Linked DNA regions of Saccharomyces cerevisiae S288C. The protein of the gene in region 1 interacts with the protein of each later gene in a biochemical or structural test. Each region holds a gene or a part of one and is shown in the gene's direction. Other genes may lie near its edges. The genes, in order: RPT6, GAL4, RPN1 and UFD4.

Region 1 (5,980 bases):
TTGTTCCACAGTCTCAGTAACGACATGTTTGGTCAATGCTACCGATAGTGAGGGTGATGCTGATGATACTATACTAGCGTACTTTGGCTTTAACGTTAAAATCTTGTACGTGCGTGAGATGATGCGTATTCGGGGATGTCTATTTTCTATTTTTTTTTTTTCTTCGTCTAGATTGTTACTTTTGACTCAATAGAGCTTAGACAATAATACTATAAGGAACTTTGAAGAAGAAATCAAATGTAAGGGGAAAAGGAAAGGGTATAAGCCTAAGAAAAATGGCACCTGCAGAAATTGCTAGACAGTAGAACGTGTTTTGAAGCCAATCGTTGGGATTGGAGCGGAAAAGTCCAAGAACAAATAACGAAGAAAGAAAACAAAGAAAGGCGATTAAGTAAAGTGGTAGTAGAGCAAGTACGAGAGAAGAGGAAGAGGCTTAGACACAAAAAAATACTATGTTTATTTAAACCAGACAGATAGCAAAGGAAGAAAGAAAGGGGAAAAAGAATAGAAGAGAAGAAACTTAAAAAAGGCCAAGGAAATTCCGGTACTTGGCATTTCGTACTCTGAGTGCGTGCGACCTGCAAGCCGAATAGCGATTTTCAGATTCTCCGATTGGCTTTTTTTCTTGGCAAACGATACGATTGCGAACGATCGCGCGTTCACACGTCACACCGCAGCATAGAGCGAGTAGAACGGTGCGTGTCAGCGTGGTCGGCGTAGCCTAGCAATTGCCACTAGTTGGCGGACGTTGTAGGCGGACACGCGCTGAACTCGGCCCCGTTGTGGCTCATTCGCACAGAAGACCCGTGCGAATGGGTGGGATGACAACGTGGAGCGAGAGCAGGAACTAGGACGGATTAAGACACTCGTTGAAAGTGCTATTTGAATTTATATAATATAGTCCGAGCGGGGTCTATATCGGACTATATAATGCATTCCAACCTTGGTAAGTTGCTTAGCAACATGCTCAGCGATCTCGGAGTCCCTGCGAATAATGTAGTGCAACAGTGGCTGTGATATGAGTATACATAGAGTGCCCGTCGGCTGTAGATATAGCAATTCCGATGAAGAGCGATACGGAGTTTTTGGGCTGGCGTACTTAGAGAGCGCTAGCCTTACGAGCATAGCAAAGATGGCCACTTTTCCGTAACAATGGCGCAGAAGTTGGTTATTGGGCCCGTGGCGCAAACTTGACGGGAGAGGTTACAGACACAATATACTGCAGTTGAGCGAAAGCCGACGTGTTGTATTAAGCGCTTGAGTAAAACCGGATGTTCTTGACGATCTTAATATTGTTAGGAGAGTAATCTGCGATCGTGGCTTTGCCTGACGCACTCAATCTTGCGTGGGAAAAACCTGAATACCACTTAATAGATGATATTTTAGAGTATCATTTGAACGGTAGGTATACTGAATATATTGAAAGTCCTCCCCAGGGATACGAGAGTTCATAGAAGGAAACTAACATTTCTAAATTATATTAATGTTATTTTTTTTCTTTCATTTCTTATGTTGTCACTTATTCTATTACATTATCAATCCGTGCATTTCAGCTTCCATTAAATCTGCTGACTGTTTCTCGATCTTCACGTTCTATCCTTACATCTTATATGATATTGTAATACAGCTATGAACAATAGTCTATAGATGGTGGTCGATTCTTGATACAACAGCTGCATGACGGTTGTTGATACAATTATTTTTAGAATTTTAGTGGACTCTCATAGGACTCTTGTCCCTAAACGAAACATCAAAAAACTGGTTTCGTGGTCTAGTCGGTTATGGCATCTGCTTAACACGCAGAACGTCCCCAGTTCGATCCTGGGCGAAATCAAGTTTTATTTTTTTCTGATCAAAAACGTCTAAGGCATTACGCGGATACTGCTAACTAACCAAAGAAACCTTCCATCTTTTTTTTTGGTAGTTGTCCTACTTTCCGTTCTTTTCGTCTTTTAAAATCTTACTAACTAGCTGTATATAGTTTCAACTAGCAATCGCTCAAATGACGGGTTATGAGAAACTGGGAATGGTTTGAGTTTCTCTGTTTGAGATGCACGTAAACCAGCTATCAAACCTGTTTCAGTGGGTGCACAAGACCATACGTAGCCCAACTCTACAAACTTGTCTGCTATCTGCTGCTGGTGGTTATCCATCAAAGAATCGTTTACGCAAACTATCAACGGTTTATTCAACCGTAGAGAATCTAGTATAGAGCCCGTTCCAGCGTGTGATATGACCAAATCTGAATAATCACGTATAATACTTTGCATCTTGGTCGAAAAGTCAAACCCGATCACCTTTAATTTCCCGTTCATCAGGACATACTGTCTTGCGGTGTCGCCACAGCCAAACTGGTCAATTGGAATTTTTTGGCTTTCTCTTTGGCCCCCGCGTTCTTGCACTAAATGCTCAAATTCAGAACTGTAGTTTCTCCCAAACTGAATGATTAGACGTACGAATCCATATTGAATCAATTCTTGGCAGAATTCGTCGCTTAGCACACATGAGACGAGCTTTGGAAATGGCACCGTTGCCCCACACGTAACAAAAAGAGCCTTTTCTTCAATAATACCCATTGTTTGAAAGAGCTGGCTTCTGACTCGTTTGTTTAACCTCTTTTTGCGACTGAAAACTTGTTTTTCTATTTCCCTTTTTCTTCGGTTGGGTTTTTTAATATGAAATCATATTTTGCATACTTCTCTACCCTTATTCTTGTTCGGAAATTTTCGTATTTTAAAACTGTCAAAATGCGAGCGAGGTGGCAAAAGTTGTAATATCAGTAACAGTTAGGTTAGGTTTTATGTAAACGGAACAACAGTATAGTGGGATACTATCACGACAATGACAGCTGCTGTAACATCCTCCAATATAGTATTAGAAACCCACGAAAGTGGTATCAAACCATATTTTGAACAGAAGATCCAAGAAACAGAATTAAAGATCCGCTCCAAAACAGAAAATGTTCGCAGACTGGAAGCTCAAAGGAATGCATTGAATGACAAAGTACGTTTTATCAAGGACGAACTGCGTCTATTACAGGAACCTGGATCTTATGTGGGTGAAGTTATAAAGATCGTGTCTGACAAAAAAGTTCTCGTTAAAGTGCAACCTGAGGGAAAATACATCGTGGATGTTGCAAAAGATATAAACGTGAAGGACTTAAAGGCATCTCAAAGAGTTTGTCTAAGGAGTGACTCTTATATGTTGCATAAAGTTCTTGAGAATAAGGCTGACCCACTAGTTTCGTTGATGATGGTGGAAAAAGTTCCTGATTCCACATACGATATGGTTGGTGGTTTGACAAAGCAAATAAAGGAGATTAAAGAAGTTATTGAATTGCCCGTAAAACATCCTGAACTTTTTGAAAGTTTGGGTATTGCGCAACCAAAGGGTGTCATCTTATATGGCCCCCCTGGTACAGGGAAAACCTTATTGGCAAGAGCTGTCGCACATCACACTGATTGTAAATTCATCAGGGTCAGTGGTGCGGAACTGGTACAAAAGTATATCGGCGAAGGTTCCCGTATGGTCCGTGAGCTGTTTGTGATGGCTAGAGAACATGCTCCCTCAATTATCTTTATGGATGAAATCGATTCCATTGGCTCTACTCGTGTAGAAGGTTCTGGTGGTGGTGATTCAGAAGTTCAAAGAACAATGTTAGAACTACTAAACCAATTGGACGGGTTTGAAACTTCTAAAAATATCAAGATCATAATGGCCACGAATAGACTAGATATTCTAGATCCAGCACTTTTGAGACCCGGTAGAATAGATAGGAAGATTGAATTTCCACCTCCAAGTGTCGCAGCTAGAGCTGAAATTTTAAGAATCCATTCCAGAAAAATGAATCTAACTCGTGGTATCAACTTGAGAAAGGTTGCTGAAAAGATGAACGGTTGTTCTGGTGCCGATGTCAAAGGTGTCTGTACAGAAGCTGGTATGTATGCTTTAAGAGAAAGAAGAATACACGTTACTCAAGAAGACTTCGAACTCGCTGTGGGTAAGGTTATGAACAAGAACCAAGAAACGGCCATTTCTGTCGCCAAGCTGTTCAAGTGATGTATTCGTTTCACTTGGCTCATTGTATATGTTACTTAGTGTATGTGTATAATATCATAGTTTAGCATTAACTAAGAGGCAAAATTATACCGCTGGATATACAGGATATAACAACCGTTTGTCTTTTCGAGAACAGAGGGGCAGAGCATTGCTGCTTTTTCCCCGTCCTGACCTTATTAATAGTAAGCCGGGGGGCCCGTTCCTTTAGTGTATTTTGAAAAATAGTAGGTACCTGCTTTGCAAAAAGGACTGAAAAAAAAAAGATAATAAGTTTTTGATTAGAGGTAAACACAGCAAACGACCACTCAGCCTAGCAGCCTTGACCCTCGAATTTAAAAAGGCGTCTGTGTTGATAGTAACTAGAAGATAACGTTTACTACGGCGACTTCATATTTTTAGGCTGTTTTTACTGTTCCTGAAAGAAAGAATTTATTACAAAGAACAATAGATCAATTGTAGGCACTATGACTGACCAAAGAGGTCCACCGCCCCCACACCCGCAGCAAGCCAATGGCTACAAGAAATTTCCTCCTCATGATAACCAATACTCTGGAGCCAATAATAGTCAGCCAAATAACCACTACAATGAAAATCTTTACAGTGCAAGGGAACCTCACAATAACAAGCAATACCAGTCGAAAAATGGCAAATACGGGACAAATAAATACAATAATCGTAATAATAGTCAAGGAAATGCACAGTACTACAATAACAGATTCAATAATGGCTACAGACTGAATAACAACGACTATAACCCGGCAATGTTGCCAGGTATGCAATGGCCAGCTAACTACTATGCTCCTCAGATGTATTATATACCCCAACAAATGGTTCCAGTTGCTTCTCCACCATATACACACCAACCACTCAACACTAATCCCGAACCTCCCTCTACACCTAAAACTACAAAAATAGAAATCACTACGAAAACTGGTGAACGTTTAAATTTGAAAAAATTCCACGAAGAAAAGAAAGCTTCGAAAGGTGAAGAGAAGAATGATGGGGTAGAGCAGAAATCTAAATCAGGAACCCCTTTTGAAAAGGAGGCAACTCCTGTACTACCTGCTAATGAAGCAGTTAAAGATACGTTAACCGAAACATCTAATGAAAAATCTACCTCTGAAGCGGAAAATACTAAGAGATTATTTTTAGAGCAGGTGAGATTGCGCAAAGCTGCCATGGAAAGAAAGAAAAACGGTTTAATCTCCGAAACTGAGAAGAAGCAAGAAACTTCAAATCATGATAATACTGATACAACTAAGCCCAACTCGGTTATTGAATCTGAACCTATTAAGGAAGCGCCGAAACCAACGGGAGAAGCTAATGAAGTTGTGATTGATGGAAAATCAGGGGCAAGTGTCAAAACTCCACAACATGTAACTGGAAGTGTAACTAAATCCGTGACTTTTAACGAACCCGAGAATGAGAGCAGTTCTCAGGATGTTGATGAGCTTGTTAAAGATGATGATACTACTGAAATTTCGGATACGACTGGTGGAAAAACTGTAAATAAAAGTGACGACGAAACAATAAATTCCGTAATCACCACAGAGGAGAACACAGTGAAGGAGACAGAACCTTCCACTTCCGATATTGAGATGCCAACTGTATCTCAACTACTTGAAACTTTAGGTAAGGCTCAACCAATTTCTGACATATATGAGTTTGCCTATCCGGAAAATGTTGAAAGGCCTGATATCAAATACAAGAAACCAAGCGTTAAGTACACTTATGGCCCTACCTTCTTACTGCAATTCAAAGATAAACTAAAATTCAGGCCTGATCCTGCGTGGGTTGAAGCTGTATCCTCGAAAATTGTTATACCTCCTCATATAGCCAGAAATAAACCAAAAGATAGTGGCAGATTTGGAGGCGATTTCAGAAGTCCATCTATGCGCGGTATGGACCATACTTCCAGTTC
Region 2 (7,811 bases), on another chromosome or scaffold:
GAAATCTTGTATAAATAATTTAGTAATCAGTTCTTTAGGTTTTCGAGAGTGGCATACAACCTAAAGGGTCAACAGACAACAAGAAGGAAAGGAATTATAGGAGCAAATACACGCCCTTCAAATGGATCCCTTTCACAATGGCAATAAAAGGAGCTCAATATCGTTTGGCTCATCGCAGCGGCAGCCATATAACAAGAACAATTACTTGAGTGGTACTAATGGGCCTTCCTCGGCGGCACAAGATCAAGGTAGAGGCCCATCTCCCTTTGGAATGTCTGGCAACACTACCAATGGCGGTAACAGCAAAAGGAATAGTGGCTGTGACCTAAGTGCCACGTACTATGCAAGTCGATCGCCGATGTATTCACCGTTAGATTTCTCGCCACCAGTTTTTTCACCAAATCATTCTCAGTTACAGCAGGCGAGGGGCTATGCTGCAAATATTCCGGTTGTAAGCAATCTGATGAACCCTTCCATGGCCTCCGTGTGCGAATATCAATCACACTATCCACTCTTTGGGCTCGATTGGAGCGCCGACGACTACGTCTGCTTGGGTTCGTACAAAGAGGACAGCAGAAATAAGTTGCAGGTTCTGCACTCTAATGATCTACTGAGCTGGGAAAGCGTAGTGGACGCAGATGTGGTTTATCCTGTGAGCAAAATCCAATGGGTCCCCTCTCAATTGTATCCAAGGAAACTCGCGACGTGTTCTGACTCCTTACGGATTTGGAGCGTTAGCCCTGAGGAAAGACAGTTCCAAGAACAAATAAATCTATCTCTGTGTAAATACAATAGACAGCACCCCGCCAATCCCGCGGCCGCAGATGACATGAAGGTCATAGGCACTTTCCCACCAATAACATCATTTGACTGGAACACGGTCGATACTAACTTGATAATCTCAAGTTCCATCGACACCACATGCATTGTATGGGATCTGCAAAGCAGTCACTACGTTAAGACCCAATTGATCGCTCACGACAGCGAAGTTTTTGATGTAAGGTTTTTGACAAAATCGACCCAATTATTTGCTAGTTGTGGTGGGGACGGTAGTGTACGAGTATTTGATTTAAGATCGCTTGCGCACAGTACAATTATTTACGAGCCTCCCTCTTCCTCAGTGTCTGGAGCCACTGCGGGTACTATAACACCGTCGTCGAAAGGTTCGGACGCCTTATTGAGGCTGGAGCCATCACCGTATGACCCAAATGTGTTGGCCACTTTTGCAGCTGACTCGAACAAAATCATTATTCTAGATATGAGGAACCCAGAATCCCCTATACTAAACTTACAAGGCCACGGTTCTTCGGTAAACGGGATTAAATGGCATCCCACAAAGCGCAATGTTTTGCTCTCGTGCGGAGATGACTGCCAGGTGCTCTATTGGGACTTGAACAGCTCCTTTATGGAAATTAACGCTGCAGGTAGCAAATCCCCCAGTATTCATGGAACTTCCTTGGAGGACCCTGACGGCGACACAGAGATGACAGACGGTGGCGCAGGATCCGGTTTAAACGAGGATCCCTTAAGTTTAAACAACAACAGCAAGCAGGTGTGCAAGACACTAGAGACTCCTAACATGATGTATGCCAATAAAACACAAGAGATAAACAACATTGCATGGAGGCCCCAGAGGGGCGATTGGTTTGGGTGCGTGAGCGGCAAGAAGTTTCAAAACGTCCGCGTCCTTTGAGACAGCATTCGCCCAGTATTTTTTTTATTCTACAAACCTTCTATAATTTCAAAGTATTTACATAATTCTGTATCAGTTTAATCACCATAATATCGTTTTCTTTGTTTAGTGCAATTAATTTTTCCTATTGTTACTTCGGGCCTTTTTCTGTTTTATGAGCTATTTTTTCCGTCATCCTTCCCCAGATTTTCAGCTTCATCTCCAGATTGTGTCTACGTAATGCACGCCATCATTTTAAGAGAGGACAGAGAAGCAAGCCTCCTGAAAGATGAAGCTACTGTCTTCTATCGAACAAGCATGCGATATTTGCCGACTTAAAAAGCTCAAGTGCTCCAAAGAAAAACCGAAGTGCGCCAAGTGTCTGAAGAACAACTGGGAGTGTCGCTACTCTCCCAAAACCAAAAGGTCTCCGCTGACTAGGGCACATCTGACAGAAGTGGAATCAAGGCTAGAAAGACTGGAACAGCTATTTCTACTGATTTTTCCTCGAGAAGACCTTGACATGATTTTGAAAATGGATTCTTTACAGGATATAAAAGCATTGTTAACAGGATTATTTGTACAAGATAATGTGAATAAAGATGCCGTCACAGATAGATTGGCTTCAGTGGAGACTGATATGCCTCTAACATTGAGACAGCATAGAATAAGTGCGACATCATCATCGGAAGAGAGTAGTAACAAAGGTCAAAGACAGTTGACTGTATCGATTGACTCGGCAGCTCATCATGATAACTCCACAATTCCGTTGGATTTTATGCCCAGGGATGCTCTTCATGGATTTGATTGGTCTGAAGAGGATGACATGTCGGATGGCTTGCCCTTCCTGAAAACGGACCCCAACAATAATGGGTTCTTTGGCGACGGTTCTCTCTTATGTATTCTTCGATCTATTGGCTTTAAACCGGAAAATTACACGAACTCTAACGTTAACAGGCTCCCGACCATGATTACGGATAGATACACGTTGGCTTCTAGATCCACAACATCCCGTTTACTTCAAAGTTATCTCAATAATTTTCACCCCTACTGCCCTATCGTGCACTCACCGACGCTAATGATGTTGTATAATAACCAGATTGAAATCGCGTCGAAGGATCAATGGCAAATCCTTTTTAACTGCATATTAGCCATTGGAGCCTGGTGTATAGAGGGGGAATCTACTGATATAGATGTTTTTTACTATCAAAATGCTAAATCTCATTTGACGAGCAAGGTCTTCGAGTCAGGTTCCATAATTTTGGTGACAGCCCTACATCTTCTGTCGCGATATACACAGTGGAGGCAGAAAACAAATACTAGCTATAATTTTCACAGCTTTTCCATAAGAATGGCCATATCATTGGGCTTGAATAGGGACCTCCCCTCGTCCTTCAGTGATAGCAGCATTCTGGAACAAAGACGCCGAATTTGGTGGTCTGTCTACTCTTGGGAGATCCAATTGTCCCTGCTTTATGGTCGATCCATCCAGCTTTCTCAGAATACAATCTCCTTCCCTTCTTCTGTCGACGATGTGCAGCGTACCACAACAGGTCCCACCATATATCATGGCATCATTGAAACAGCAAGGCTCTTACAAGTTTTCACAAAAATCTATGAACTAGACAAAACAGTAACTGCAGAAAAAAGTCCTATATGTGCAAAAAAATGCTTGATGATTTGTAATGAGATTGAGGAGGTTTCGAGACAGGCACCAAAGTTTTTACAAATGGATATTTCCACCACCGCTCTAACCAATTTGTTGAAGGAACACCCTTGGCTATCCTTTACAAGATTCGAACTGAAGTGGAAACAGTTGTCTCTTATCATTTATGTATTAAGAGATTTTTTCACTAATTTTACCCAGAAAAAGTCACAACTAGAACAGGATCAAAATGATCATCAAAGTTATGAAGTTAAACGATGCTCCATCATGTTAAGCGATGCAGCACAAAGAACTGTTATGTCTGTAAGTAGCTATATGGACAATCATAATGTCACCCCATATTTTGCCTGGAATTGTTCTTATTACTTGTTCAATGCAGTCCTAGTACCCATAAAGACTCTACTCTCAAACTCAAAATCGAATGCTGAGAATAACGAGACCGCACAATTATTACAACAAATTAACACTGTTCTGATGCTATTAAAAAAACTGGCCACTTTTAAAATCCAGACTTGTGAAAAATACATTCAAGTACTGGAAGAGGTATGTGCGCCGTTTCTGTTATCACAGTGTGCAATCCCATTACCGCATATCAGTTATAACAATAGTAATGGTAGCGCCATTAAAAATATTGTCGGTTCTGCAACTATCGCCCAATACCCTACTCTTCCGGAGGAAAATGTCAACAATATCAGTGTTAAATATGTTTCTCCTGGCTCAGTAGGGCCTTCACCTGTGCCATTGAAATCAGGAGCAAGTTTCAGTGATCTAGTCAAGCTGTTATCTAACCGTCCACCCTCTCGTAACTCTCCAGTGACAATACCAAGAAGCACACCTTCGCATCGCTCAGTCACGCCTTTTCTAGGGCAACAGCAACAGCTGCAATCATTAGTGCCACTGACCCCGTCTGCTTTGTTTGGTGGCGCCAATTTTAATCAAAGTGGGAATATTGCTGATAGCTCATTGTCCTTCACTTTCACTAACAGTAGCAACGGTCCGAACCTCATAACAACTCAAACAAATTCTCAAGCGCTTTCACAACCAATTGCCTCCTCTAACGTTCATGATAACTTCATGAATAATGAAATCACGGCTAGTAAAATTGATGATGGTAATAATTCAAAACCACTGTCACCTGGTTGGACGGACCAAACTGCGTATAACGCGTTTGGAATCACTACAGGGATGTTTAATACCACTACAATGGATGATGTATATAACTATCTATTCGATGATGAAGATACCCCACCAAACCCAAAAAAAGAGTAAAATGAATCGTAGATACTGAAAAACCCCGCAAGTTCACTTCAACTGTGCATCGTGCACCATCTCAATTTCTTTCATTTATACATCGTTTTGCCTTCTTTTATGTAACTATACTCCTCTAAGTTTCAATCTTGGCCATGTAACCTCTGATCTATAGAATTTTTTAAATGACTAGAATTAATGCCCATCTTTTTTTTGGACCTAAATTCTTCATGAAAATATATTACGAGGGCTTATTCAGAAGCTTCGCTCATATAACGAAAAAAAAGGGTTTGGATCGAACGTAATTGAGATTGATTAGTTAATACTCAAAATAAAACAGCTCCTACCACCAGTGTAAAGTAGAACGTTAATAGAGCAATGTCTTCAGACAAATCTATTGAGAAAAATACAGATACGATCGCCTCTGAAGTTCACGAAGGTGATAATCATTCGAATAATTTGGGTTCAATGGAGGAAGAGATAAAATCAACGCCATCAGACCAATATGAAGAGATAGCTATAATTCCAACTGAGCCCCTCCATTCGGACAAAGAACTAAATGACAAGCAACAAAGTTTAGGCCATGAAGCACCCACAAATGTATCAAGAGAAGAACCTATTGGGATCTCTGGTGATGAAGACACCCAAATCACTGAACAAAACGTTAATGAACAAAGGCAAGAAACGAGAGAACCTAGTTCTGAAATTGATTTAAATGAGCCATTGGATGTTGAAAAAGATGTGACAACGGATGTGCAAGCCCCAAATGGGCTGAATATTGAAAAAGAATATGATGCAGTCAAAGAGAATGAGAAGGTTTACGCTGATACGAAAGAGGTTGTTAGTAGTCCAGAAAATAGGGAAGTAACTGGAAAAAATTCTGGAGGTGAGAAATCATCCTCGAGTAAATTTCTCGATGACGAATCTGGTACTACGACAGCTGCAAATGCGAACGACATTTCTATAAGTAGTGAAGTAACCCCAGAAAGGTCGTCAGAAAATGATAATAACCAGATTCATATTACCAATGAGGTAGCCGCAGGAATAAACTTGAATGAAAACAAGGAACAAAAAGCTGCTATAGAAGATGGGCCCGTAACAGCAGAGAATCTTTCCTCAGAAACTGCTAGGAAAGTACCACCTATACCCACACAAATCATAAATGAAAAAGGTGATAACTCAAGCGAGAACGAGGTTTCCGCAATTCCCACTACATCTTCGCCACCATTACCACCTAGACAAAATGTTGCGACATCAACGTCACCAAAATTACCTCCAAGGGGCAAACAAAGGGAACAACCACCGAAGACGAAGAATGCTGTTCCACCGCCACTAGAGGAAGAAATGAAGTCAGAGAAGTTCCGTAAAAACTTCGAAGAAACTAAAAGAAATAGTTATCATCATGTTCCTCTCACTGGTTCCAAAACTGCGCAATTAGAGTCCACTGCAGAAATTAATTTGATCGCTAGTCGTTACCGCAAGACCAGTCACCATTTGAATAAAGAGGGGGAAGAAACTAGAGAGTCGTTGCAGGAAGGTCAAAGCTTTTTAAAATCGACATTTACGTCATTTCTGGAGAACTTGTCCGAGTATAACGAAGTGGAGAATGTTAATGAAGAAGATAGAGAAATGTTTAAAATTGATTGGTCCTTCTGGACTCAAGTAGTTAATGATTATGCTACAGTGGCAAGCAACGAACCAGAAAATTTAGAAGCCCATGTTACCAATGGGATACCACCACAAATTCGAGGTATCATTTGGCAGCTGATGGCGAATTCCAAATCAAGAGAAATGGAAGATATATATGAAACTCTATTGGATACCGAATGTCTTCATGAAGCAACAATACGTAGAGATTTAAGGAGAACGAAGTTTGTGGCCGAGGACAAAATGGAGTCACTATACAAGGTAATAAAGGTGTATTCTGTTTATGATCCAGATGTTGGGTACACGCAAGGCATGGGGTTCATTGCAGCGCCGCTATTAATAAACTGTGAAAACGAGGCCGAATCTTTTGGACTACTCGTTGGATTAATGAAGAATTATGGATTAAGAGAGCTTTTCTTACCAGGAATGCCTGGGCTGATGTTAATGCTTTATCAATTTGATAGATTATTAGAGGAGCATTCACCTTCTTTGTACAATCGCTTGATCCGTGAGGGAATTAGCTCCACAATGTACGCTACACAATGGTTTTTGACATTTTTCGCATACAAGTTTCCGTTAGAGTTTGTGTTAAGAATTTTTGATATTGTATTCGTAGAGGGTATTGAAGTGCTTTTGAAGTTTGCTGTAAATTTAATGTTAAAGAATGAAGAAACTTTAGTAAAATTGAGATTCGATGAACTATTGGATTTTTTAAAGGACGAACTCTTCAATTACTATTTAATGGGAAACCAGGATGACGCTTCTGTAGTGCAAATGGGATTGTCAAATGGGAACTCATTTAAGGGCAATGATGACGGCACTTTTTCCTACAATGTCGATCTTTTCGTTCATGATGCAATGACAGGTGTATATATCACACCATTAACATTAAGAAGATACAGGGGAGAGTACGTAGAAATCCATGAAAAAGAGCAAAAAAAAGAGGACCACTACGAATCACTAAGAATTCAAAACCACCAACTACAAAGAGAGGCGCAGAAGCTAGAACACGACTATTCAATTTTGAACAAAGAGAATATCAGCGCCGCTAACGAGCTGATTCAGAACAGATTGAATATGGAGATGCTGTTGGATGAAAAAAACGACCTGATAAATACAATCACTGATATCAAAAGCCAAATTGAGGAAGAGATTCGCAAGCAAAATTTACCGAACCCGGACGCGTCACTACCAAAGGCAGATCTGAGAGAAGACTTGGAAAGGACCATATCCAGGAACAATGAGGTGATGAGGGAGAACGGCCAATTAGAGGAAAGAATCACTGAACTGCAAGCGGAAATCGATGAGTTGATTAACATCAATAAGGAGCAAGTGTCCACGGCATCGTTATTGGAACGAGATTCTAAGGCTAAAGGGAGGAAAGGCTGGACTGGTTTTAAAAAAGTTTTTAAATAGATGTATAGTTTTGCGCTGTGTGCACATTGTGTGCCTCTCCAATTTGTGTTAAAAAATGCATCACGACTCGTTTAGACAATGTTGTTGTTGTTGTTTTTTTTTTGACTGTATTTTCACCCGTACATCCACGGATGTGTTGGGTTTTTGTTTCCGCTTTACCGT
Region 3 (5,473 bases), on another chromosome or scaffold:
TTTGAAGACGACAAGGCTGCGTGGTGGTCACCAACTGGTGATTACCTGGCATTCTTGAAAATTGATGAATCAGAAGTTGGTGAGTTTATCATTCCATATTATGTCCAAGATGAAAAGGATATATACCCCGAAATGCGCAGTATCAAGTATCCAAAAAGTGGCACGCCAAATCCTCATGCAGAGCTATGGGTTTACAGTATGAAAGATGGAACATCGTTCCATCCAAGAATAAGTGGAAATAAAAAAGATGGAAGTCTGTTAATTACTGAAGTTACATGGGTAGGAAATGGAAACGTTTTAGTTAAAACTACCGATCGATCCTCGGACATATTGACTGTGTTTTTGATAGATACAATTGCAAAGACTTCAAACGTGGTAAGGAACGAAAGTTCTAACGGAGGATGGTGGGAGATTACTCATAATACTCTGTTTATTCCGGCAAATGAAACATTTGATAGGCCTCATAATGGTTATGTTGATATTCTTCCGATTGGTGGTTACAATCATTTGGCTTATTTCGAAAATAGTAATAGTTCACACTATAAAACATTGACAGAGGGGAAATGGGAAGTGGTGAATGGCCCACTTGCCTTTGATTCAATGGAAAATCGTCTTTACTTCATTTCTACACGAAAGAGTTCAACCGAACGCCACGTTTACTACATAGATTTACGGTCACCAAATGAAATTATTGAAGTTACTGATACTTCTGAGGATGGTGTCTATGATGTGTCCTTTTCTTCTGGTAGAAGGTTTGGTTTACTCACCTATAAAGGACCAAAAGTTCCATATCAAAAAATTGTGGACTTCCATTCTCGTAAAGCAGAAAAATGCGACAAAGGTAATGTTTTAGGCAAATCACTATACCATTTGGAAAAGAACGAAGTACTTACCAAAATTTTAGAAGATTATGCGGTACCCAGAAAATCATTCAGGGAATTGAACCTAGGAAAGGACGAATTTGGAAAGGATATACTAGTGAACTCGTATGAAATCCTACCAAATGATTTCGATGAAACGTTAAGTGACCACTATCCTGTATTTTTCTTTGCATATGGGGGACCGAATTCTCAACAAGTTGTCAAAACGTTTTCCGTAGGATTTAATGAAGTGGTAGCTTCACAATTAAACGCAATTGTAGTTGTTGTTGACGGTCGTGGTACTGGCTTCAAAGGTCAAGACTTTAGATCCCTTGTTCGCGATAGGCTCGGTGATTACGAGGCCCGCGACCAAATATCTGCGGCTTCCTTATATGGTTCTTTAACTTTTGTTGATCCGCAAAAGATTTCCTTATTTGGTTGGTCATACGGGGGGTACCTGACACTAAAAACTTTGGAGAAAGATGGCGGAAGACATTTCAAATACGGGATGTCAGTTGCGCCAGTAACCGACTGGAGATTTTACGATTCTGTTTATACTGAGAGGTACATGCATACTCCTCAAGAAAACTTTGATGGATACGTAGAATCAAGCGTTCATAATGTCACTGCTTTGGCACAAGCAAATAGATTTTTGTTGATGCACGGAACAGGAGATGATAACGTTCACTTTCAAAATTCCCTAAAGTTTCTGGACCTTTTGGATCTAAATGGTGTGGAAAATTATGACGTCCACGTCTTTCCTGACTCAGATCATAGTATAAGATACCATAATGCGAATGTAATCGTTTTTGACAAGCTATTGGATTGGGCAAAGCGTGCTTTCGATGGGCAATTTGTCAAATGAGTTGACTATTTACAGCTCATCTCATAGAGACATTCATAAAACATTTTCATATTTACATACTATGTATATATAAAATTGGTAATATAACAGATTAATGTTCGTAGAAGATGATGTGTTTTACGGTGGCAAAAGGCGAGCACGAAATTTGGCAAAGGGTATAAGTAATTAAGCAAATTTGGTCAAATCTATAATTCTTCACTAACAAACTTGCCCATTGGTCTACATAAGGTGCGATTCGTATAAATTTGGAAGACAATTGCAAGAAAATGGTAGACGAAAGTGATAAGAAACAACAGACTATTGATGAACAATCGCAGATAAGTCCTGAAAAGCAGACACCAAATAAGAAGGATAAAAAAAAGGAGGAAGAGGAGCAGCTATCCGAAGAAGATGCAAAGCTTAAAACAGATTTAGAGCTATTGGTTGAAAGGCTGAAAGAAGACGATTCATCTTTATATGAAGCGTCTTTGAATGCCTTAAAGGAATCGATCAAAAATTCTACGAGTTCTATGACCGCCGTTCCCAAACCTTTGAAATTCCTTCGTCCGACATATCCAGACCTATGTTCTATCTACGACAAATGGACAGATCCAAACTTGAAATCCTCTTTAGCGGATGTCTTGTCCATTTTAGCCATGACATACTCTGAAAATGGTAAACACGATTCATTGAGATATAGATTACTCTCCGACGTTTCTGATTTTGAAGGGTGGGGACATGAGTACATCCGTCATTTAGCTTTGGAGATCGGTGAAGTATATAATGATCAAGTGGAAAAAGATGCTGAAGATGAAACATCATCTGATGGATCTAAAAGCGATGGATCTGCGGCTACTTCCGGGTTCGAATTTTCCAAGGAAGATACTCTTCGTCTATGTTTAGACATTGTCCCATACTTTTTGAAACACAACGGTGAAGAAGACGCGGTAGATTTGCTTTTGGAAATTGAATCTATTGACAAGCTACCTCAATTTGTCGATGAGAATACCTTCCAAAGAGTTTGTCAATATATGGTTGCATGTGTTCCACTTTTGCCACCTCCTGAAGACGTTGCCTTTTTAAAAACCGCATATTCTATTTATCTATCTCAGAACGAACTTACAGATGCAATTGCTTTGGCAGTTAGACTAGGGGAAGAGGATATGATCAGATCCGTTTTCGATGCTACTAGCGATCCAGTGATGCATAAACAATTAGCATATATTTTAGCCGCACAAAAGACATCGTTTGAGTATGAAGGTGTTCAGGATATAATTGGAAATGGTAAATTGTCTGAACACTTTTTATATCTTGCTAAAGAATTGAATCTAACTGGGCCAAAAGTCCCAGAAGACATTTATAAGAGCCATTTGGATAACTCTAAATCTGTGTTCTCAAGCGCCGGCCTAGATTCTGCTCAACAAAATCTAGCTTCGTCATTTGTCAACGGGTTCTTAAACTTAGGTTATTGTAACGATAAATTAATTGTGGATAATGATAATTGGGTATATAAAACCAAAGGTGACGGTATGACTTCCGCGGTAGCTAGTATTGGATCTATATACCAGTGGAATCTCGATGGTTTGCAACAACTGGATAAGTATCTCTACGTTGATGAGCCAGAAGTTAAAGCTGGTGCATTATTAGGTATTGGTATTTCCGCTTCCGGTGTGCATGATGGTGAAGTTGAACCAGCTTTGTTACTTTTGCAAGATTATGTTACTAACCCAGACACTAAAATTAGTTCAGCAGCTATTCTTGGCCTGGGTATTGCATTTGCTGGTAGCAAGAATGACGAAGTGTTGGGTTTGTTATTACCAATTGCCGCATCCACTGACTTGCCTATTGAAACTGCAGCTATGGCTTCCTTAGCTTTGGCTCATGTTTTCGTTGGTACTTGTAATGGTGACATTACAACTTCTATCATGGACAACTTTTTAGAGCGTACAGCCATCGAGTTGAAGACCGACTGGGTAAGGTTTTTGGCACTTGCTTTAGGTATTCTATACATGGGCCAAGGTGAACAGGTGGATGATGTTTTAGAAACTATTAGTGCTATTGAACATCCAATGACATCAGCTATTGAAGTATTAGTTGGTTCATGTGCTTATACTGGTACGGGTGATGTTTTGTTAATTCAAGATTTGTTACATCGTTTGACCCCTAAAAACGTAAAAGGTGAAGAAGATGCAGATGAAGAAGAAACTGCCGAAGGACAGACTAATAGCATAAGTGACTTTTTGGGTGAGCAAGTGAATGAACCTACCAAGAACGAGGAAGCTGAGATCGAAGTGGACGAAATGGAGGTTGATGCCGAAGGAGAGGAAGTTGAAGTTAAAGCAGAAATAACAGAGAAGAAGAATGGTGAGAGTTTAGAAGGTGAAGAGATAAAATCCGAAGAAAAGAAGGGAAAATCTTCCGATAAGGATGCTACTACGGACGGGAAAAATGATGATGAGGAGGAAGAAAAAGAAGCAGGCATAGTCGATGAACTTGCTTATGCAGTTTTGGGTATTGCTTTGATTGCCCTTGGTGAAGATATTGGCAAGGAAATGTCTTTACGTCATTTTGGTCATTTAATGCATTATGGTAATGAACACATCCGTCGTATGGTTCCTTTAGCGATGGGTATTGTTTCCGTTTCTGATCCACAAATGAAGGTGTTCGATACCTTAACTCGTTTTTCACATGACGCCGATTTAGAAGTTTCAATGAATTCAATTTTCGCTATGGGTCTATGTGGTGCTGGTACTAACAATGCAAGGTTAGCTCAACTATTAAGACAGTTGGCAAGTTATTATTCACGTGAACAAGACGCTTTGTTTATCACCAGATTAGCACAAGGGTTATTGCATCTTGGTAAAGGTACTATGACAATGGATGTGTTCAATGATGCACATGTTTTGAATAAGGTGACATTAGCATCAATATTAACTACCGCAGTTGGTTTAGTATCGCCAAGTTTCATGTTGAAGCATCATCAATTGTTCTACATGTTGAATGCCGGTATAAGGCCAAAGTTTATTCTAGCATTAAACGATGAGGGAGAGCCAATAAAGGTTAATGTGCGCGTTGGTCAAGCAGTGGAAACTGTCGGCCAAGCAGGCAGACCAAAAAAGATTACTGGCTGGATTACGCAATCCACTCCTGTTTTACTAAATCATGGCGAAAGAGCAGAACTAGAAACTGATGAATATATTAGTTACACAAGCCATATTGAGGGCGTAGTAATTTTAAAGAAGAACCCTGACTATCGTGAAGAGGAGTAAACTGAATAGCTTTTGGGCAATATCAACCAGAATAGGAAAAATTCAAAACCATTTTAAATAAATATATATTTATATAGTTGTACATTTTTTTCTCTTACTTAATATAATATGATTTTTAGATAATAAAAGAAAACGTGCATATATACATACACATGTATCTCAGATATCTCATTATATCTATTAGTAAATATGGATGCGCTTATCTAGCTCGTAAAAACGGAAAAGAAAAGCCTGGTTTGAGCGCTTACTGAAATTCAGAAGCTTTACCGGCCATCAATAAACCAACAATCAAACCTAATAAACCTAAAATGGACCCGAAAATTTCAATGACCAAAATTTTAACAAACAATGCGGAATCAGCAGCATCGGAAATGGCAGCAGTCGCACCGGTGATACCGACAGCGATACCACAAATCAAATTGGAAGCACCGACAGTGATACCTGCCCAGAAAAGAGAATAACCAGTGTACAGGTTTGATTTCGAGTACATGTTCTCAGCA
Region 4 (9,351 bases), on another chromosome or scaffold:
TCCGTTTTAACGCAATTTCGCACGGAAGGTAACTATGTCTTGAATTTTGCCACTCAGCAATATAAATGTTGGATTTCCTTACCAATTGTCTTTGTATTGATAGGCGCTTTGCAATTAGTGAATCTTTATTGGCTGTTCCTTATTTTTAGAGTTCTTTACAGGATTCTATGGAGAGGTATTCTCAAGGATGACAGAAGTGATAGTGAATCAGACGAAGAAAGTGATGAAAGTTCCACTACTCCAACTGACAGTACTCCAACGAAAAAGGATATTTGAAGGAAAACGGTGTTTTTAAGTAGTATAACCATTACACATTAATTCTTTACACATTAATTCTTTTACGGTCCTGCTCTCACGTTCTTCCTTATTGGTTTATGTAAACAGGTATTTTTATAGTATTCTTTTCCAGACATACAGTGTTATCTTTTTTTCTTGCTTTCGTGCCGCTAAAGAGCTGTGAAGATCAAAAGTGATTTACGCTTAGTTAGCATGAATATAAATTCTCAGTTGAAAAGAAGCTATGTTACATTTATGAGCGTTGCTTTAGTATATCTATACAAAAAAAAGAAATTTTTATACAATGGTCTATTAAAAAAGGCTTCCAAATAATAGTTCAGCTTATTCCATGTTGATGTTAGTGCTTTCAACAGTGGAGCTATCGTTGTCATAGTAGGCCGACACCTTGACTTTGAATTCAGAAGCAGCGATACCGAATTGTTTCAGTATTAAAGCTTGACGAACATCTAATTTTTCTCCTTCAGTGCAAACTAAATATGGACTGTCAATGGTGATCTTACCAGCTTTGATTTTAGTTGGAATTTCAAATTTGTTTCTCATAGTTGGCTCTAAAGAATGAATCATTGGAACATCTTCCTCAGCTGGAATTTGACCACCACGTGAGTAGACAATGCCCTCAGGAATTGTAAATGTTAGTGGTGCTTTCGTGTTCGGTCTTGAATAGTCTGAACGAACGTATGACTTAAAGTATTCCTTGACAGTGTTGACATCCTCATCAGTGAACAATAAACCAGTGACACCGCTACAAAGCTTACTCAATTGATACAGATTTTCTTTGTATTCTTCTTCCCTCTTTTCTCCCAATGCTTTTTGTAAAACTTTCCTCTTACCCATAATTAACTTAGAGCCTGCCCAAGATGTTCTGATTTCTTGTAAAACTGGAGTTCTTACGTCGTCAAGATGTAGGACCCAGACGTATCTATAAGTATCTAAGGCTTCCCTCACTTCATCGAAAATTCTTTCTTTATTTTCTCTGCCCTTTTTATCGGTTTGTGCTAAAGTGACTAGCTTGGAACGTTTTGATCTTGGCATGATTCAACTATAATAAATCTTTTATGGACGATAGACAGTGATGTACGTATAGCAAAAGGAATCAGCTCTGCTTAGCCAAAGTACTACAAATATTTGCAACTTTTCAAAAGCTCATCGCATTTTTCTGGAAAAAAATTTTTTCTTTCACCTTCGCCGGGTAAAGTCCTAATGGTTGGGTTTTCTGAACTGAAATCAAATTGTGGGATCATAGCCAACAGTAGTTGGAAAGGGGAATAGCTTTGATCATACCCAGGGAAAGACCACTTTCTGGGATCGATACTTTCCTTTCTGTGTGCTTTATTAACAACAATATATCTCAGGTGTGAAAATTTTGGATAAACATTTAAAATAGAAGAGTAGCCAAGCATGTCTGAAAATAATTCGCACAACCTTGATGAACATGAGTCCCATAGCGAAAACAGTGATTATATGATGGATACGCAGGTAGAAGATGACTATGATGAGGATGGCCATGTACAGGGTGAGTACTCTTATTATCCTGATGAAGATGAAGATGAACATATGCTTTCTAGCGTCGGAAGTTTTGAGGCAGATGATGGTGAAGATGACGATAACGATTACCATCATGAAGATGATTCTGGACTTTTATATGGATATCATAGAACTCAGAATGGCAGTGACGAAGACAGAAATGAAGAAGAAGATGGACTTGAACGTTCTCACGATAATAATGAATTTGGCAGCAACCCCCTACATTTACCTGACATTTTGGAAACATTCGCACAAAGACTAGAACAAAGAAGACAAACAAGTGAAGGACTTGGGCAACACCCGGTTGGAAGAACACTACCCGAGATTTTATCGATGATTGGAGGAAGGATGGAGAGGAGCGCAGAGAGTTCGGCAAGGAATGAGCGGATTTCTAAATTGATAGAGAATACTGGGAATGCCTCCGAGGATCCTTATATTGCAATGGAGAGTTTAAAAGAACTTTCTGAAAACATATTAATGATGAATCAAATGGTTGTCGATAGAATTATACCGATGGAAACCTTAATAGGTAATATAGCTGCCATACTCTCTGATAAAATTTTACGGGAAGAATTAGAATTACAAATGCAAGCTTGTAGATGCATGTATAATCTTTTTGAGGTCTGCCCTGAATCTATTTCAATAGCTGTTGATGAACACGTTATACCAATTTTACAAGGAAAATTGGTAGAGATCAGTTACATTGACCTCGCAGAACAAGTTTTAGAAACGGTGGAATATATTTCTAGAGTACATGGGAGAGACATTTTAAAAACGGGCCAATTATCAATCTACGTCCAATTCTTCGATTTTTTAACTATACATGCGCAGAGGAAGGCTATCGCAATTGTTTCGAACGCCTGTAGCAGTATCCGAACGGATGACTTTAAGACCATTGTTGAAGTACTTCCAACGCTGAAGCCAATTTTCTCGAATGCGACAGACCAACCAATATTAACCAGGCTTGTAAATGCCATGTACGGTATTTGCGGGGCGTTGCATGGGGTTGACAAATTTGAGACTTTGTTTTCGTTGGATTTAATCGAAAGAATAGTTCAGCTAGTTTCTATTCAGGATACCCCCTTGGAGAATAAACTGAAATGTTTGGATATTTTAACCGTATTAGCGATGAGTAGTGATGTACTTTCAAGAGAACTGAGAGAGAAAACTGACATTGTCGACATGGCAACACGATCATTCCAGCATTATAGTAAAAGTCCTAACGCAGGGTTACATGAAACACTGATTTATGTCCCAAACAGTTTATTGATTAGCATTTCTAGATTTATAGTTGTATTGTTTCCTCCCGAGGATGAAAGAATACTGTCAGCGGATAAATATACCGGAAATAGCGACCGTGGCGTAATTTCTAACCAGGAAAAGTTTGATTCCCTAGTTCAATGTCTAATTCCAATTCTCGTTGAAATTTATACAAATGCTGCTGACTTTGACGTAAGAAGATACGTACTTATTGCTTTACTGAGGGTTGTATCATGCATAAATAATTCCACAGCAAAGGCAATCAATGATCAACTTATTAAGTTAATCGGATCTATCCTGGCCCAAAAAGAAACAGCGTCTAACGCTAATGGTACTTACTCATCAGAAGCTGGTACACTGTTGGTTGGTGGTCTCTCGTTGCTTGACTTAATTTGTAAAAAGTTTTCCGAACTGTTCTTTCCTTCCATCAAAAGAGAGGGCATTTTTGATTTGGTTAAGGATTTGTCTGTGGATTTCAATAACATTGATTTAAAGGAAGACGGGAATGAAAATATTTCACTTTCTGACGAAGAAGGGGATTTGCATAGCAGTATTGAGGAATGTGATGAGGGTGATGAAGAATATGATTACGAATTTACTGATATGGAAATTCCTGATTCAGTAAAACCAAAGAAAATTTCAATACACATTTTCAGAACTCTATCTCTAGCTTATATTAAAAACAAGGGTGTGAACCTAGTTAATAGAGTACTTTCTCAGATGAACGTTGAGCAAGAAGCAATAACAGAGGAGCTCCATCAAATCGAAGGCGTTGTTTCTATTTTAGAAAATCCTTCCACTCCGGACAAAACTGAAGAGGATTGGAAGGGAATTTGGTCTGTTTTAAAAAAATGTATTTTCCATGAAGATTTCGACGTGTCAGGTTTCGAATTTACTTCTACAGGGCTAGCTTCCTCCATAACTAAAAGAATTACATCCTCAACGGTATCCCATTTCATTCTTGCTAAATCATTTTTAGAGGTATTTGAGGATTGTATTGACAGATTTTTAGAAATCCTACAATCTGCTCTCACAAGGCTGGAGAATTTCTCTATAGTTGATTGCGGTTTACACGATGGTGGTGGTGTATCTTCACTGGCTAAAGAGATAAAAATTAAGTTGGTTTATGATGGCGATGCAAGCAAAGATAATATTGGTACTGATTTATCATCTACTATCGTTTCGGTCCATTGCATAGCTTCTTTTACCTCACTTAATGAGTTTTTGAGACACAGAATGGTAAGAATGCGTTTTTTGAATTCATTAATCCCAAACCTTACATCTTCCAGTACCGAAGCTGATAGGGAAGAAGAAGAAAATTGCTTGGATCATATGAGAAAAAAGAACTTTGACTTTTTTTATGATAATGAAAAAGTTGACATGGAGTCTACAGTATTTGGTGTGATATTTAATACATTCGTCAGGCGAAATCGTGACTTAAAAACTTTATGGGATGATACACATACAATCAAATTTTGCAAAAGTTTAGAAGGTAACAATAGAGAGAGTGAGGCAGCCGAGGAAGCTAATGAGGGGAAAAAGTTAAGAGATTTTTATAAAAAAAGAGAATTCGCACAGGTTGATACTGGATCTTCAGCGGATATTCTGACATTGCTGGATTTTCTACATAGCTGCGGTGTTAAAAGCGACAGTTTTATCAACTCAAAACTAAGCGCTAAGCTCGCTAGACAACTAGATGAACCATTGGTAGTAGCAAGTGGAGCTTTGCCGGATTGGTCACTATTTTTGACCAGGAGATTCCCATTTTTGTTTCCGTTTGATACCAGGATGCTTTTCCTACAATGTACTTCATTTGGTTACGGAAGATTGATTCAACTTTGGAAGAATAAGAGTAAAGGCTCGAAAGATTTAAGGAATGACGAAGCTTTACAACAACTTGGGAGAATTACTAGGCGTAAGCTGCGGATTTCAAGAAAAACAATATTCGCTACCGGTCTCAAGATTTTATCCAAGTACGGAAGTAGCCCTGACGTACTGGAAATTGAATATCAAGAAGAAGCAGGAACAGGTTTAGGACCGACTTTGGAATTTTACTCCGTAGTTTCCAAGTATTTTGCAAGAAAGTCGTTAAATATGTGGCGTTGTAACTCTTATAGTTACAGAAGCGAAATGGATGTTGATACTACTGACGATTATATTACCACTTTATTGTTCCCAGAGCCCCTCAACCCGTTTTCCAATAATGAAAAAGTTATTGAACTTTTTGGATATTTGGGGACATTTGTTGCCAGATCGTTGCTTGATAATAGAATTCTTGACTTTAGATTTAGCAAAGTCTTTTTTGAGTTATTGCACAGAATGTCTACGCCCAATGTGACGACAGTGCCGAGCGACGTTGAAACCTGTCTGTTAATGATCGAATTGGTAGATCCGTTACTCGCAAAATCCCTTAAATACATAGTAGCGAATAAGGATGACAATATGACCCTAGAATCGTTGTCCTTGACATTTACCGTTCCTGGAAATGATGACATTGAGTTGATTCCGGGGGGTTGTAATAAATCCTTGAACTCTTCTAATGTTGAAGAATATATCCATGGCGTTATCGACCAAATATTAGGTAAGGGCATTGAAAAACAGTTAAAAGCATTTATTGAAGGTTTTTCAAAGGTGTTTTCCTATGAGAGGATGCTAATACTTTTTCCGGATGAATTAGTGGATATTTTCGGACGAGTTGAGGAAGACTGGTCTATGGCAACTTTATACACAAACTTGAACGCTGAACATGGCTATACAATGGATTCTTCAATCATTCATGATTTTATATCAATAATATCCGCGTTTGGTAAGCATGAAAGAAGATTATTTTTGCAATTTTTAACGGGATCTCCCAAGCTTCCAATTGGGGGATTTAAAAGTTTGAACCCAAAGTTTACAGTTGTGTTAAAGCATGCTGAAGATGGCCTAACAGCAGACGAATATCTACCAAGTGTAATGACATGTGCTAATTATTTGAAATTGCCGAAGTATACTAGCAAAGATATTATGCGGTCTCGTCTTTGTCAAGCCATTGAAGAGGGTGCAGGAGCTTTTCTACTTTCCTAAATTTTAGTTACTTTTTCTATTTAAGTTTTATATGACTTCAAAATTATTTCTTAAGATACAAAAAATGGATGGAATCAGACTAAATTTCTTCGGATTATCCGTACTTTTCTCATTTTTTTGTTTCAACTGGCGATTCCATATTTGTTTATCCATTGCATACAACGAAGGCTTACGGTTATACAGTCTAAAGCTAAAAAAGATAGTAATATGTCGACAGCACAGAAAGCTAAGATATTGCAACTCATCGATTCCTGCTGCCAAAATGCAAAAAGCACACAACTGAAATCTTTATCATTTGTTATTGGAGCAGTAAATGGCACGACGAAAGAAGCTAAAAGAACCTACATTCAAGAACAGTGTGAATTTTTGGAGAAGTTACGACAACAAAAGATAAGAGAGGGAAGAATTAACATATTGTCTATGGATGCTGGTGTTTCTAACTTTGCTTTCTCTAAGATGCAATTGCTCAATAATGATCCGCTCCCTAAAGTACTAGACTGGCAAAAGATAAATCTAGAGGAGAAATTTTTTCAAAACCTCAAAAAGTTAAGCTTGAATCCTGCTGAAACTTCTGAGCTTGTATTTAACCTTACGGAGTATTTATTTGAATCTATGCCGATACCAGATATGTTTACAATTGAAAGGCAACGTACCAGAACTATGTCTTCGAGGCATATTTTAGACCCAATTTTAAAAGTGAATATTCTCGAACAGATTCTTTTCTCTAACTTGGAAAATAAAATGAAGTATACGAATAAAATACCGAATACGTCCAAGTTGAGGTATATGGTATGTTCGTCCGATCCACATCGGATGACTTCATATTGGTGCATTCCAAGAGAAGAGACACCGACCAGTTCAAAAAAGTTAAAATCTAACAAACATAGCAAAGATTCTCGAATAAAGCTAGTGAAAAAAATACTTTCAACCTCAATACTAGAAGGTAATTCAACTAGTTCTACAAAACTGGTCGAGTTCATAGGAGTTTGGAATAATAGGATAAGAAATGCCCTTACCAAAAAAAAAAGTTTCAAGCTATGTGATATACTAGAGATCCAAGATAATTCGGGGGTGAGAAAAGATGACGATTTGGCAGATTCATTCCTCCATTGTTTGTCTTGGATGGAGTGGTTAAAAAATTATGAAAGTATTACTGAACTCTTGAATTCAAAAACACTGGTTAAAACACAGTTCGGACAGGTGTTTGAATTTTGTGAAAATAAGGTACAAAAGCTGAAATTTTTGCAGAACACTTACAACAATGACTAAGAAATTGTGCGGTGATCGCAAACTTGAAATAACATGTAATCTCTATGTATAATTTATATAATGATTAACAAGATAGAGGTCGACACGTCAGAATCAATAGTCCAATTCCACAGCCGGAGTTAAATGCCTCTTTTTTGACGCGGTCAACGTTAAGTTTGCAGTAGCGCTTTCGGCAGTCGGTGCAGAGCTTTCAGGCTTAAAATCCTCGAAAATTTGTCTTCTTATGTTATCTTCATCGCCTAGTGCCTTGTATTCAAGAGATTCGCCAAGCTCTTTGGAAGCTAAATCCCACGTACTAGGCTTGGGCTTACCGGTTTTTGTATATGTCCTTTGCAAAAGTAACCAAAAATAGTGCTTCTTTTGCTCCAATATCCTACGCTCATTTTGGAGTTTCTGTTGTATCTTTTCGTTTCTTTGCTTTATCAAACCATCAACAATCAAACTGATGTCTTCTTTATCCACCTTGTCAAATTTCCGGTCATTTTCCAGAACTTTTTCTATGTTTTGCTTGGTGATCTCGTCGCTATCGGCATCATTCCATTCAAAATTTTGATCTATCAACGTCTGTTGGGCTATTGATCTTTGTGCAAAGATGTACATCCTTTGTTCATCAACAAAATCTAAAAATAAATCAAGGCAGGACGAGCCATTCCTTCCAAGCATATGTAAAAAGCGCGGATCAGACTTTATATGAGGATAAATATCTGACCATCTAGTATTTGCTTTGATTTTGATTGGCACTTCTCTTAATAAGCTTTTAAAGTTATCTCTAGCAATACGGTCTCTGGTATAATTGCGCAGTCGGAGCTCATTTAGTTTGTTTTGAAGATCGTTTTCAATCGTATTTACTATTTTCAGATACTCGTTTAAAACATCTTCGTGGGTTAAGACTTTGAAGTGCCGGTTCGCCATATATCTCTTACTCTTATCAAAAACATAGTGATTTAAAAGCTGCTGCCAGGTTATGAAAGTTTCAGAGGATGATGTTGTTATAATACCGTTTAAATACTCTCTTAGTTCTTTTAGGGCCTGTGTTTTCAATTTTTTTTTTGATTCTTTCTGAGTGTCGATGAGGGTATCTATATAATCTTGAAAGGTCTGTCTCTTTGTCTTTTCATTGACCACGGAGTGTTTGTATATTGGTTCGTCGGCAATTAGTCTCTTTGCGGTAGGCCAACGGGTGTAATATTTTATATGAGAATTGTTTTGCAACATTTTCTGAAAGGCTTCTTTGAATTTGCTTGTTTCATTGTGTTCCTTAAGAAGTTGATCGGCTGATCTATTGGAAAGATATTTCTCAAACATTTCTTTCTTCCATAAGGGGTCATCATCGACCATCCAATACCTTGGATCTCTGGTCCCCAGTTCTGAAATAATTCTACTGAATGACCAAGTAGAGTCTACTTGATTTTCCTTCAGCATGGTAATAAATTCCTTCTCTGCTTCTTCTTTAGTCCTTCTCCTGACATTAAGCAGTTTAGAGTTATTAGCATATTGGCTTTCCTCCTCGTTTATAGTTCGTCCCGGCTCTTGTTTTTCTCCAGCCGTAAGGGCTATTCTATTTCCATTAACCTGTGCATGGGATACTGTATCATGTTTTTGTTCTGCGATGGGTTCTACTTTCTTCTCGAAGGCCGGAATAGTCCAGCTGGTTTCTCTTGTTGTTGGATTATAATAGTATACTTTGCCGTCTGCCGTCTTGGCCGCCTTCCAGCCATTTTCTCGAAGAAGTAGCTCCTCCTGAGAAATTAGTTCCTTGGGCTTCTCCCACGTAGATTTCTTTGTCAAAGTATTGTAATAATATATCCTTCCACTTGCATCTTTAGCTTCCTTCCAAATAGACATAGTTTCACGTCTCCCACCTCCGGCAATGCTTGTCTAGTGGTCGATCTGGCTTCAGACCTTGTTATCCTGATAGGTAGGCACGCTATTGCG

What was found.
Region 2: the proteins of RPT6 (region 1) and GAL4 form a complex in vitro, tested with the Saccharomyces cerevisiae proteins (2 studies listed by BioGRID).
Region 3: the proteins of RPT6 (region 1) and RPN1 form a complex in vitro, tested with the Saccharomyces cerevisiae proteins (2 studies listed by BioGRID).
Region 4: the proteins of RPT6 (region 1) and UFD4 form a complex in vitro, tested with the Saccharomyces cerevisiae proteins (2 studies listed by BioGRID).

Annotation. Positions count from the first base shown.
Region 1 is NC_001139.9:408,148-414,127, reverse strand, and holds RPT6 (proteasome regulatory particle base subunit RPT6), read left to right. Parts: upstream 1-2,841; coding exon 2,842-4,059; downstream 4,060-5,980. Other genes in the region: RIM8 (Rim8p), read right to left, coding at 1-26; N-acetylglucosaminyldiphosphodolichol N-acetylglucosaminyltransferase catalytic subunit ALG13, read right to left, coding at 1,968-2,576; TIF4632 (translation initiation factor eIF4G), read left to right, coding at 4,524-5,980. UniProt on the Saccharomyces cerevisiae protein: The 26S proteasome is involved in the ATP-dependent degradation of ubiquitinated proteins. The regulatory (or ATPase) complex confers ATP dependency and substrate specificity to the 26S complex.
Region 2 is NC_001148.4:76,507-84,317, reverse strand, and holds GAL4 (galactose-responsive transcription factor GAL4), read left to right. Parts: upstream 1-1,961; coding exon 1,962-4,607; downstream 4,608-7,811. Other genes in the region: YPL247C (uncharacterized protein), read left to right, coding at 122-1,693; GTPase-activating protein GYP5, read left to right, coding at 4,965-7,649. UniProt on the Saccharomyces cerevisiae protein: This protein is a positive regulator for the gene expression of the galactose-induced genes such as GAL1, GAL2, GAL7, GAL10, and MEL1 which code for the enzymes used to convert galactose to glucose.
Region 3 is NC_001140.6:161,230-166,702, reverse strand, and holds RPN1 (proteasome regulatory particle base subunit RPN1), read left to right. Parts: upstream 1-1,991; coding exon 1,992-4,973; downstream 4,974-5,473. Other genes in the region: DAP2 (dipeptidyl aminopeptidase), read left to right, coding at 1-1,725; VMA16 (H(+)-transporting V0 sector ATPase subunit c''), read right to left, coding at 5,218-5,473.
Region 4 is NC_001143.9:418,220-427,570, reverse strand, and holds UFD4 (putative ubiquitin-protein ligase UFD4), read left to right. Parts: upstream 1-1,695; coding exon 1,696-6,147; downstream 6,148-9,351. Other genes in the region: sphingosine N-acyltransferase LAC1, read left to right, coding at 1-276; ribosome assembly factor MRT4, read right to left, coding at 619-1,329; CCE1 (cruciform cutting endonuclease), read left to right, coding at 6,355-7,416; snoRNA-splicing protein PRP40, read right to left, coding at 7,510-9,261. UniProt on the Saccharomyces cerevisiae protein: E3 ubiquitin-protein ligase which accepts ubiquitin from an E2 ubiquitin-conjugating enzyme in the form of a thioester and then directly transfers the ubiquitin to targeted substrates.